Tamandua tetradactyla: one gene and its partner. The protein of the gene in region 2 purifies or fractionates together with the protein of the main gene of each other region. This does not show direct contact. Links are inferred from orthologs where the notes say so. Each region holds a gene or a part of one and is shown on either strand. Other genes may lie near its edges.

Region 1 (3,908 bases), on a different chromosome or scaffold from region 2:
CTAGTATTTCAGTCTACCCAAATTTTTTTAACTCCTTATCCCCCCCATTATTCATTTCTTTATTTTGTCTGTATTTTTTTTTAACTAATCTGTCCATACCCTGGATAAAGGTAACATCAGACATGAGGTTTTCACAATCACATGATCACACTGTAAAAGTTATATAGTTATACAATCGTCTTTAAGAATCAAGGCTACTGGAACACGTTCAACAGCTTCAGGTACTTCCTTCTAGTCACTCCAATACACCACAGACTAAAAAGGGATAGTGTGCCAGTTTGAATCTGTTGTGTACCTCAGAAAAGCCATGTTCTTTAATCCTCATTCAATATTGCTGGGTGGGCTCTTTTTTATTGTTTCCATGGAGATGTGACCCACCCAATTGCAGGTGGTAACTTTTGATTAGATGGTCTCCGTGGAGCTGTGTGGGGTTCAAGGGGGGGGTTGCTTACTATAGCGCTTTAAGAGGGAACAATTTTTGGAAAGAGCCAACAGAACCAACAGAGCTCACACAGTCAGAGACCTTTGGATATGCCTAAAGAAAACACCCCTGGGGAAGCCACTGAAGAAGCCTGGAGAGAAAGCTAGCAGATGTTGCCATGTGCCTTTCTAGCTGAGAGAAATCCCAAACATCATCAGCTTTCTTAAGCCAAGGTATCTTTCCCTGGAAGTCTAATTTGGACATTTTCATGGTCTTAGAACTGTAAACCTGCAACTTAATAAATTCCCCTTTTTAAAAGCCATTCCGTTTCTGGTATATGGCATTCCGGCAGTTTTTACAAACTAAAACAGATCTCTATATAATGCATATGAGTAACTTCCAGGATAACCTCCCAACTGGATGAAATCCCTTAGCCACTGAAACTTGTCTCATTTCTCTCTTCCCTCTTTTGGCCAAGAAGGCTCTCTCAACCCCATGATGCTGGGTCCTGGCTTATCCCCAGGAGTCCTGTCCCATGTTGCAGGAAGAGTAACACCTCTGGGAGTCGTATTCCAAACATAGGGTGGGGGGCAGTGAATACACCTGTTGAGCTGTCTTAGAGAGAGAGGCCACATCTGAGCAAAAAAGAGGTTCTCTGGGGGTGACTCTTATGCAGTCATTCGGGAGCCCAGCTTCTCCTTTGCAGGGCTAAATTTCAAAGGGGCAAACCCCAAGATCAAGGGCTCAGCCTATTGAATGGGTTGTTCCCACTGCTTGCAGGAATAACAGGAATTCTCCAGATGGGGAAACTGAATATTTCTGCCTTTCTCTCAGTACTTAAGGGGACTTTGCAAATACTTTTTTTTATTCTCTGCTCAGCTTACTCTGGGAAGTAAAAGGGCATTACACTAATCTACACAAACCAACAAGATCTCACACCCTATTCAAGATTCCATATAATTATGGTGTTCAAATAAACTGATCATACAAGTTAAATTGGATAATACACTACCTGAAACAGAAAAAACCCACACCTCTTCCTTTGGTCTCACATAGAAGTTGAAGTTTAAAAATATGGACCATTTCATCCTTTACCCTGTACTCTGATTTACCTTAGTCCTGTCCAAATCAGCTTCACTTATACCTCTAATCAAAGTCTGATCACTTTTTTTTACTTTTTAAACAGTTGCTGTATGGGATAATGCTAACTTTCACAGCTTCAGAACTCTGACTCTGCCTCAGGTGTCACATAAAATACTCAAAATTTCAGGGAACGACCAGTTTATACACAAATTGCTCAGTATCTCAGAATTTAGAAATAACAGCTACAACTCCAGAACAGACGTGACTGCTTCAAGAGCTTACAATCTAGGACCCTTCACAATAGGCCCCAATCTGATAACCCATGCCTTTGACTTCAATTCTCCAAGTTTGTATATTATAGTTAGTCCATATGAGTGAGGCATGATAATACGTCTTTTTGTTTCTGACATTTCATTCAATATACTGTCCTCCCGTTTCATTCACCTAGTTGCATGCCTCACAATTCAGTGCTCTTTCTACTGGCTGTAGATCGCTTCTCGGTCTTGTGTAGTGGGGACCCCAAAGCTGCCATTCAAGCCAGTGCCTGGGAAATAAAGCCTGCCAAGGGGGAGCCCTACCTTGTTGTCATCTGTGAACGGCGGCCCCTTCGCTGCACCTGTCTGTGCTTTATCATGATGTTCCAAGGATTCTGTGGGGATCAAGGAAGCAGACGTCACCGATCCTGTGACATAATGGTGGGGTTGCGAGGATAGGTAGAAGTTAAACCTAGAAATCCTTGCTTTTCAGATCCCTTCATCGCCTCTCCAACCTTGGGGTGTGGGGAATAGCAGCGGTTGGAAGACCCTGACCGGGAAGAACTGAGGAAAAGCTCCTGCCTCGAAAGTCTCAACCCCACTTTTTTTCTGTAACGGTAGAAGGAAGGGACCCAGCGTTGGTAGAGGGCCTACTCTGTGGCAGGTGACATAGCCACATTTATCATCCCATGCCCACAACAAGTCTAGGAGGCAGCTACTAATCATCTCCATTTTGTATTAGAGGAAACTGGAACTCAGGGAGTTGACAGAACGGGTCCACGTCACCTAGCTAAGGGGGCGGCACCAGAATTTGAATCCGGGTCGTCGGGCTGGGAAAACGCCAACTCCCTCGACAGCACCAGACTCCGCGTTCTCTCGCCCGCGGGCCAGGGTCCCGGGAGCCCGAGGCCCCGTCCGGCCCGAGCCCAGGTCCAGCCCTGGCCTCACCGGGGGCGCCCTCACCGTGAGAACCAGCTGCCCCGCTGAGCCCGCGTCCCCATGCTCGGGGCCACCTCGCTCTGCCCCGCCGGGTCCCCGCGGCTGCTCGGCTTCCCCAGTAGCCCCCATGGCGTCCCCGGTCCCCACAGCTTCAGTCCGACTTTGCCACCGGCCGGAAGGTGGCTTCGTGACGTCATTGGGCCGCGCCACTCGCTAGCCCGGAAGCGAGCTAAGGCGAGCGGCGCAGTTGTCATGGGAACCGAACCGCTGCCACTGGCCGGGGTGCGGGGTTCGGAGAAGCCTTGTGTGTGTGGGTTGCTGCAGGTTTCTCCAGCGAGGGCGCTGCGCCTCAGGAGTGGGCGTTCGGTCGGTAGTGAGCTTATAGGTGGCATTCAGTCAAGGGCCGTTCTGCCAAGCGCGGTGTAGGAGGAGGGGAGCAGGTTTCCATGGGCTGGGATTAGGGAGCGGAGGCGGGTATTTTGTACAGCGGTGTCTGCAGTTCAGTTTTCGGAAATTTTGTATTTGAATATGCCCGGCACTCAGCCCCGGGAATTAGAGTGCGACCTGAAGTGGATGAGGGGGTGTGGGGGTTGGGTGGGCGGCGGGACAAAACCCTGCAAGACTGGTCTGGCCCATGCCATCCCAAACACCCACAGCTGCATCTTTCTAGGCCTTGAGAGATCTGAAGGCATCAGGTGACATTTGGGTCTTGGCTTGTGGATTTCCTCTGTTCCAGGGAGCTGGGCTTCTCTTCCGCACAAGACTGATGATTCTGGGATAGGCTGGGGATGTAGAAATTTAATCGCTGTAGAGTTTATCTGTTATGGCTCGAAAGTGAGTCCTTGCCTGATGTGCACAGCCAATCACTACACACTTGGATTTTGAGGAGAGAAAGAAGTTATTGCTAAACTCAAAGCAAGGAGATTAGAAGGCCTATGGATCATAAATCTGTCTCCCCAAATTGGAGAAACTTTCAGCGTTTTATACCATTCAAGCAAAGAGGCAGGCTTAGGATAAGGAACAAGAAGGTCAGTTCTGGCATGACTTATGTTTCTTCATTAATAATTATCAAGGGTGCTTTGTGTAGAAGCACGAGACATCACAGTGCTACTGCAAAACAAGATAAGGGGATAAAAACAGCCAGTCGTGAGTTACTTGTTGCAACCTCTGAACTAGTTTTCTTACCTCTAAGATTACTGTGCAGATTAAAA
Region 2 (3,908 bases):
TTACCACAAGAACATTCTCAGTAGAAGGGGGGGGGGGGGGGAGCTTCTGTGCCTTGATTAATGGCCAGAGCAAGACAAATAAAATAAATCTCATAAATATAAGGAAATAACCCTAAATGACCATTCTTAGTTTCGAGGTTAGGCATGCAAATAATTCCACTATCCTGGGATAAACACACATAAAGATTCTGTTTACCCTTCCAGCATTTACACCAACCAGACTCAGATTTTCAGCTGGTAAAAATAATAGCTAATTTGTCTAAATAACGCCTAGGTTAGGAACATTTGAAAAGTGACAATAATAGTTAATTCCCGACTAATTCAACTTTCAAAAACTGCCAAATATCAAATCCTCAATCTGGAAATCTGATGACAGGAAGGAAAAAAAATAAGCATATCTATCAGAAACATGTAGAGAGCTTTTCTTTTTTTTTTTTTTTTAACTCATCTTTCACCAAACTAGAATTGAGCCTGTCTAGAAAACCTCGAAAAGCTAACCAACTTAAGTTGATCCCACTGCCTTGTGTTTACTCCCTGGCCCTACTAAGCATCTCTGGATCTGTTCCTCTGGTGCTAAAATTATCGTGGCAAAGTTAAAACTCCCACACAATCAAGGGTGGGTACCTGACAGCCAGGACCTACAACCCATTTGCAGAAATCCACAGGCTGAGGACCAGGAAACCAGAGGCAAGGAGAGACAAAGACTGCTAGTTAACTAGTTAAGTGGTGAGTACTCCGGCTTGTTATCCTTACAGGGTCATCCAAGCCACATTTTCCAGCACCAGACTCCTTTCTTGAAAGGGTGAATGATGCTGAAGGTTGGCACCAACTGAAAAAACTTAAAATTCCTTTCTCAAAGCTCTCCTCCGAGGCCTGCTGCAAAGTCACCCGGACCGGTTTTTAGGGGGCCTTTTTAAGAGAAATCACGGGTCATTCCTGCATCGGTCATTCCTAAGCACCACTCCACACACAGCCATGCCACGCTGTTAGCAACCCGCTTCAACAGTCCACTTGCCAGAGCTGCGCCTCTCTGGGGAGAGTTTCCACAAAGCTGGCTCTAACAGCCCAGTCGAAGGCGACGGAGGAACCAGAAGGCCTTTTCTTTTCACCTAAGGATGGCAGGCGCACCCGCTCCAGCCCACTGCCGGCCACAGGCTGCCAGCCAGGTGCTCTCGGCGTCCGCCGGGGAGTTGGTGCTTTTTCTTTTCTTTTTTTAATATCTATTTCCCCAGACCACCAGTAGTAACTTCTCAGTCTCCCAAACTAAAGTTGGGGAATGAAGGAGCAGGTTTACCCCCATGCACACTCCACTTCTCCCATCTGGGTGGCCACACCAACTTCTGGGGGGTACCCAAAACCCCACAGAGCCCGCAGGCGCGTATTCGTACACATATGCATCATGTCAAAAACCCCAAAAGGCACATCCCCAGGGTCCTGTGGTTTCTTAGCTGGAAGAATGAAGGCTTTATAACATCGCAACCATCAACTGCAAGCCCCAACACCACTACCCTACCAGCGGGGGCTGCCAATTATAGCGTCCACCTCACCCCTCCCCCTTTGCTGGGATGCTGTGCAGCCCAGAGAGGGAAGAGGGAAGAAGGGAAGCAGGGAGAAGGCCCTGCTTACATACTGAAAGTAAAGAACGGGGGTGGGGTGGTTTCCTTCTCCATCCCCCACTATTCCCTCCCCCACCGCCCAGTCTTCTCACGGAGCATCTTCCAACTAATTTTTTTTTAATGAAAGTTAATAAGATTCTTGCCTACCTTGGCTGTCTCTGCAACAAGTGCATGGGCAATCCGAGAAGATCGATCTCCGCTTGGGGGGTGGGGTGGGGGACGAGCAGAGCTGATGGAGTAATTTCAATATTAATTTATGTCAGAGCCGCCTCCTCGCAACGCTACTCATTTACAGTACTGCCCTCAGCCTGTAAACAAATATCGCTCCGCCAGGAAACATACTCCCAGATGCAAACCCCTCTCCCCATCAGGGAACCTGGCTCCTCGCCCCCGCCCCCCATCCAACACCATGCTCCCCCACCCCCACCCCCCTGTAGGAAGCTCCCGGCTTCGGAAGCATCAACCCACCATCTCCGCCACCACCCCAGCAAGAAACTTACTCGGTCCGTCTACGCCTCCACCCTCCCTTCAGGAAATCTACTCTCCATATGCATTCAGCCTCCCCGCAGGAAATCTGCTCCCCCCTCCCCCCTCCTATATGCATGCACCCCTCCCTCTCCTCCTCCCCACGCGCCCTCCCCGACCAGAAACTTACAAGCGAAAAAGCGTGCAGGCTCTCCCGATCCTGGAAACTTACTCCCAGATATAGCGCCCGCCAGCCCCCTTTTCCCGGCCCTGCTCCCCTTCCTGCCCTCCGCCGCAAGCAACTCCAAACTCTCCGCATCCAGCCGCTCTCCCTCCCCGGTGGAAATTTGCAGCGCCCGGCTGCGCGCGTGCACCCACCCTCCCCTTCAGGAAACTTACTCCCCATCTGCATGCACCGCCTCTCAGCCATCGCTTAGAGGGAAGGGGGTGTGCTGGGGAGACAGAAATACATATGTATCTCTCGCCCCTCCCCCGGTCGCAGCCCACTCGGGGCCGAGCCGCGACAACCTGGCCTTACCTTTTGCATTGCTTTCCACCCTCGTCTCCCTCCTTTAACCCTCCTTATCCCCTCCCAGCCCCCCCTTTTTACCCATTACCCACCCCTAGCAACCGTTCCCAAGCTCCTCTCTGCCTTTTTTTTTTAATCCAGGATGCAAATTCCTCCCCTGTCAGCAAATCGACTGTCAAATTATTTTCTTGCAAAAGGAGAAAGGCGGGGTGGGGGGTGGGGGGGAGCAGAAGCAAAATGGGGAGGGGGAGGCGCGGGGAGAGGGAAGGAGAGGGCTAGAAGAGGGGAGAGATATCCCTCCGCAGAGCTGGTCTGGCCGCAGGCGGGGAAGCAGGAAGTAAGGTGTCCAGCGCCGCGGCCGGCCGGCCCTCCGCCGCTGCCCCCGCCCGCGCCTCCTGCCCCCCAGGGTGCCGCGCTCGGGCAGGCGCGGGCCGCTCCGCGCATTGTTCGCAGCCTTCGCGGCGGTGCGCGGCTGACTTTATTTGTGTGCTCTGCATGTGCATGAGGTTGCACCTTTTGTAGGCTGGCGAGTCTCAGCGCGAGGATGGGGCAGGGGGCGCGGGCCCCGCTGCCGCCTCGCGTAGGACCTGTCAGCAGGCCCCGGCGTGCGGACTCTCTGGCATGGCTGGAAAATCGAGGTCCGGGAGAAAGCGGCGTGGCCGGGAAGCTGCCCCCTACACCCGGACCAGTGCAGATTGCTTCCTGCGTAGCCGTCCGGGTTATTGTAACGCGCTTTGCAATTTTAACGACCGGGGTTTGGGCTTCTTTGGTTTTTTTCTTTAGAAGGTTGCAACGATGCCGAGGCCTAAGCGGGCTGTGGGGAGACAATCCGCGTACGCATCGCACCCTGGCCTGGGTGGGTTTGGAAAAGGGGCTGGGGCTCCGGGGAAGGGGCTGGAGGTTCCTGAAGCGCGCGACTCCATCCCTCCGCCCCGATGGGGGCGGGGAGGGGGTGCTGCAGACCGCGCTGGAAATGCAGCTCTCTGGGGAGGGGTCTCCATCTCCGCTCAGCGGGCCGGGGTGGGAGGTTGCCTAGGAGAGGGGCCGGGGCCGGGCGGCTGGAGGGGAGAGAAGGGGAGGGGGGACTGGAGTGCCGCCGCGGCCCGCGCCCGCCCCCCTAGCGCGCCATGACTGTGGAACGTGGTGCCGGGGAGGAGGGACGGCCGCCGGGGGCCGCCCGGGGCTGCTCGGCATTGGTGCGGAAACCCGAGCCGAGAGTTGCTCCCTCGCGCTGTCTCCTCCTCTGCGGGGGAAACCGCTGCACCCAAACCGAGAGCAGCTGCGAGCAGGGGGCAGGG

What was found.
Region 1: the proteins of TRERF1 (region 2) and DNTTIP1 purify together in Homo sapiens (affinity purification with mass spectrometry; 3 studies listed by BioGRID and IntAct, with this or other methods). This does not show direct contact. The link is inferred for Tamandua tetradactyla from reciprocal best matches to the Homo sapiens genes TRERF1 and DNTTIP1.

What each region holds. Positions count from the first base shown.
Region 1 is NC_135327.1:6,433,110-6,437,017, forward strand, and holds the start of DNTTIP1 (deoxynucleotidyltransferase terminal-interacting protein 1), read right to left. Parts: upstream 2,896-3,908; 5' UTR 2,827-2,895; coding exon 2,722-2,826; intron 2,667-2,721; exon of another isoform or gene 2,545-2,666; intron 2,154-2,544; coding exon 2,083-2,153; intron 1-2,082. UniProt on the Homo sapiens protein: Increases DNTT terminal deoxynucleotidyltransferase activity (in vitro). Also acts as a transcriptional regulator, binding to the consensus sequence 5'-GNTGCATG-3' following an AT-tract.
Region 2 is NC_135331.1:100,031,439-100,035,346, forward strand, and holds the start of TRERF1 (transcriptional-regulating factor 1), read right to left. Parts: upstream 2,841-3,908; 5' UTR 2,703-2,840; exon of another isoform or gene 2,620-2,702; intron 2,614-2,619; exon of another isoform or gene 2,481-2,613; intron 2,458-2,480; exon of another isoform or gene 2,272-2,457; intron 2,168-2,271; exon of another isoform or gene 2,117-2,167; intron 2,105-2,116; exon of another isoform or gene 2,085-2,104; intron 1,846-2,084; 5' UTR 1,764-1,845; intron 1-1,763.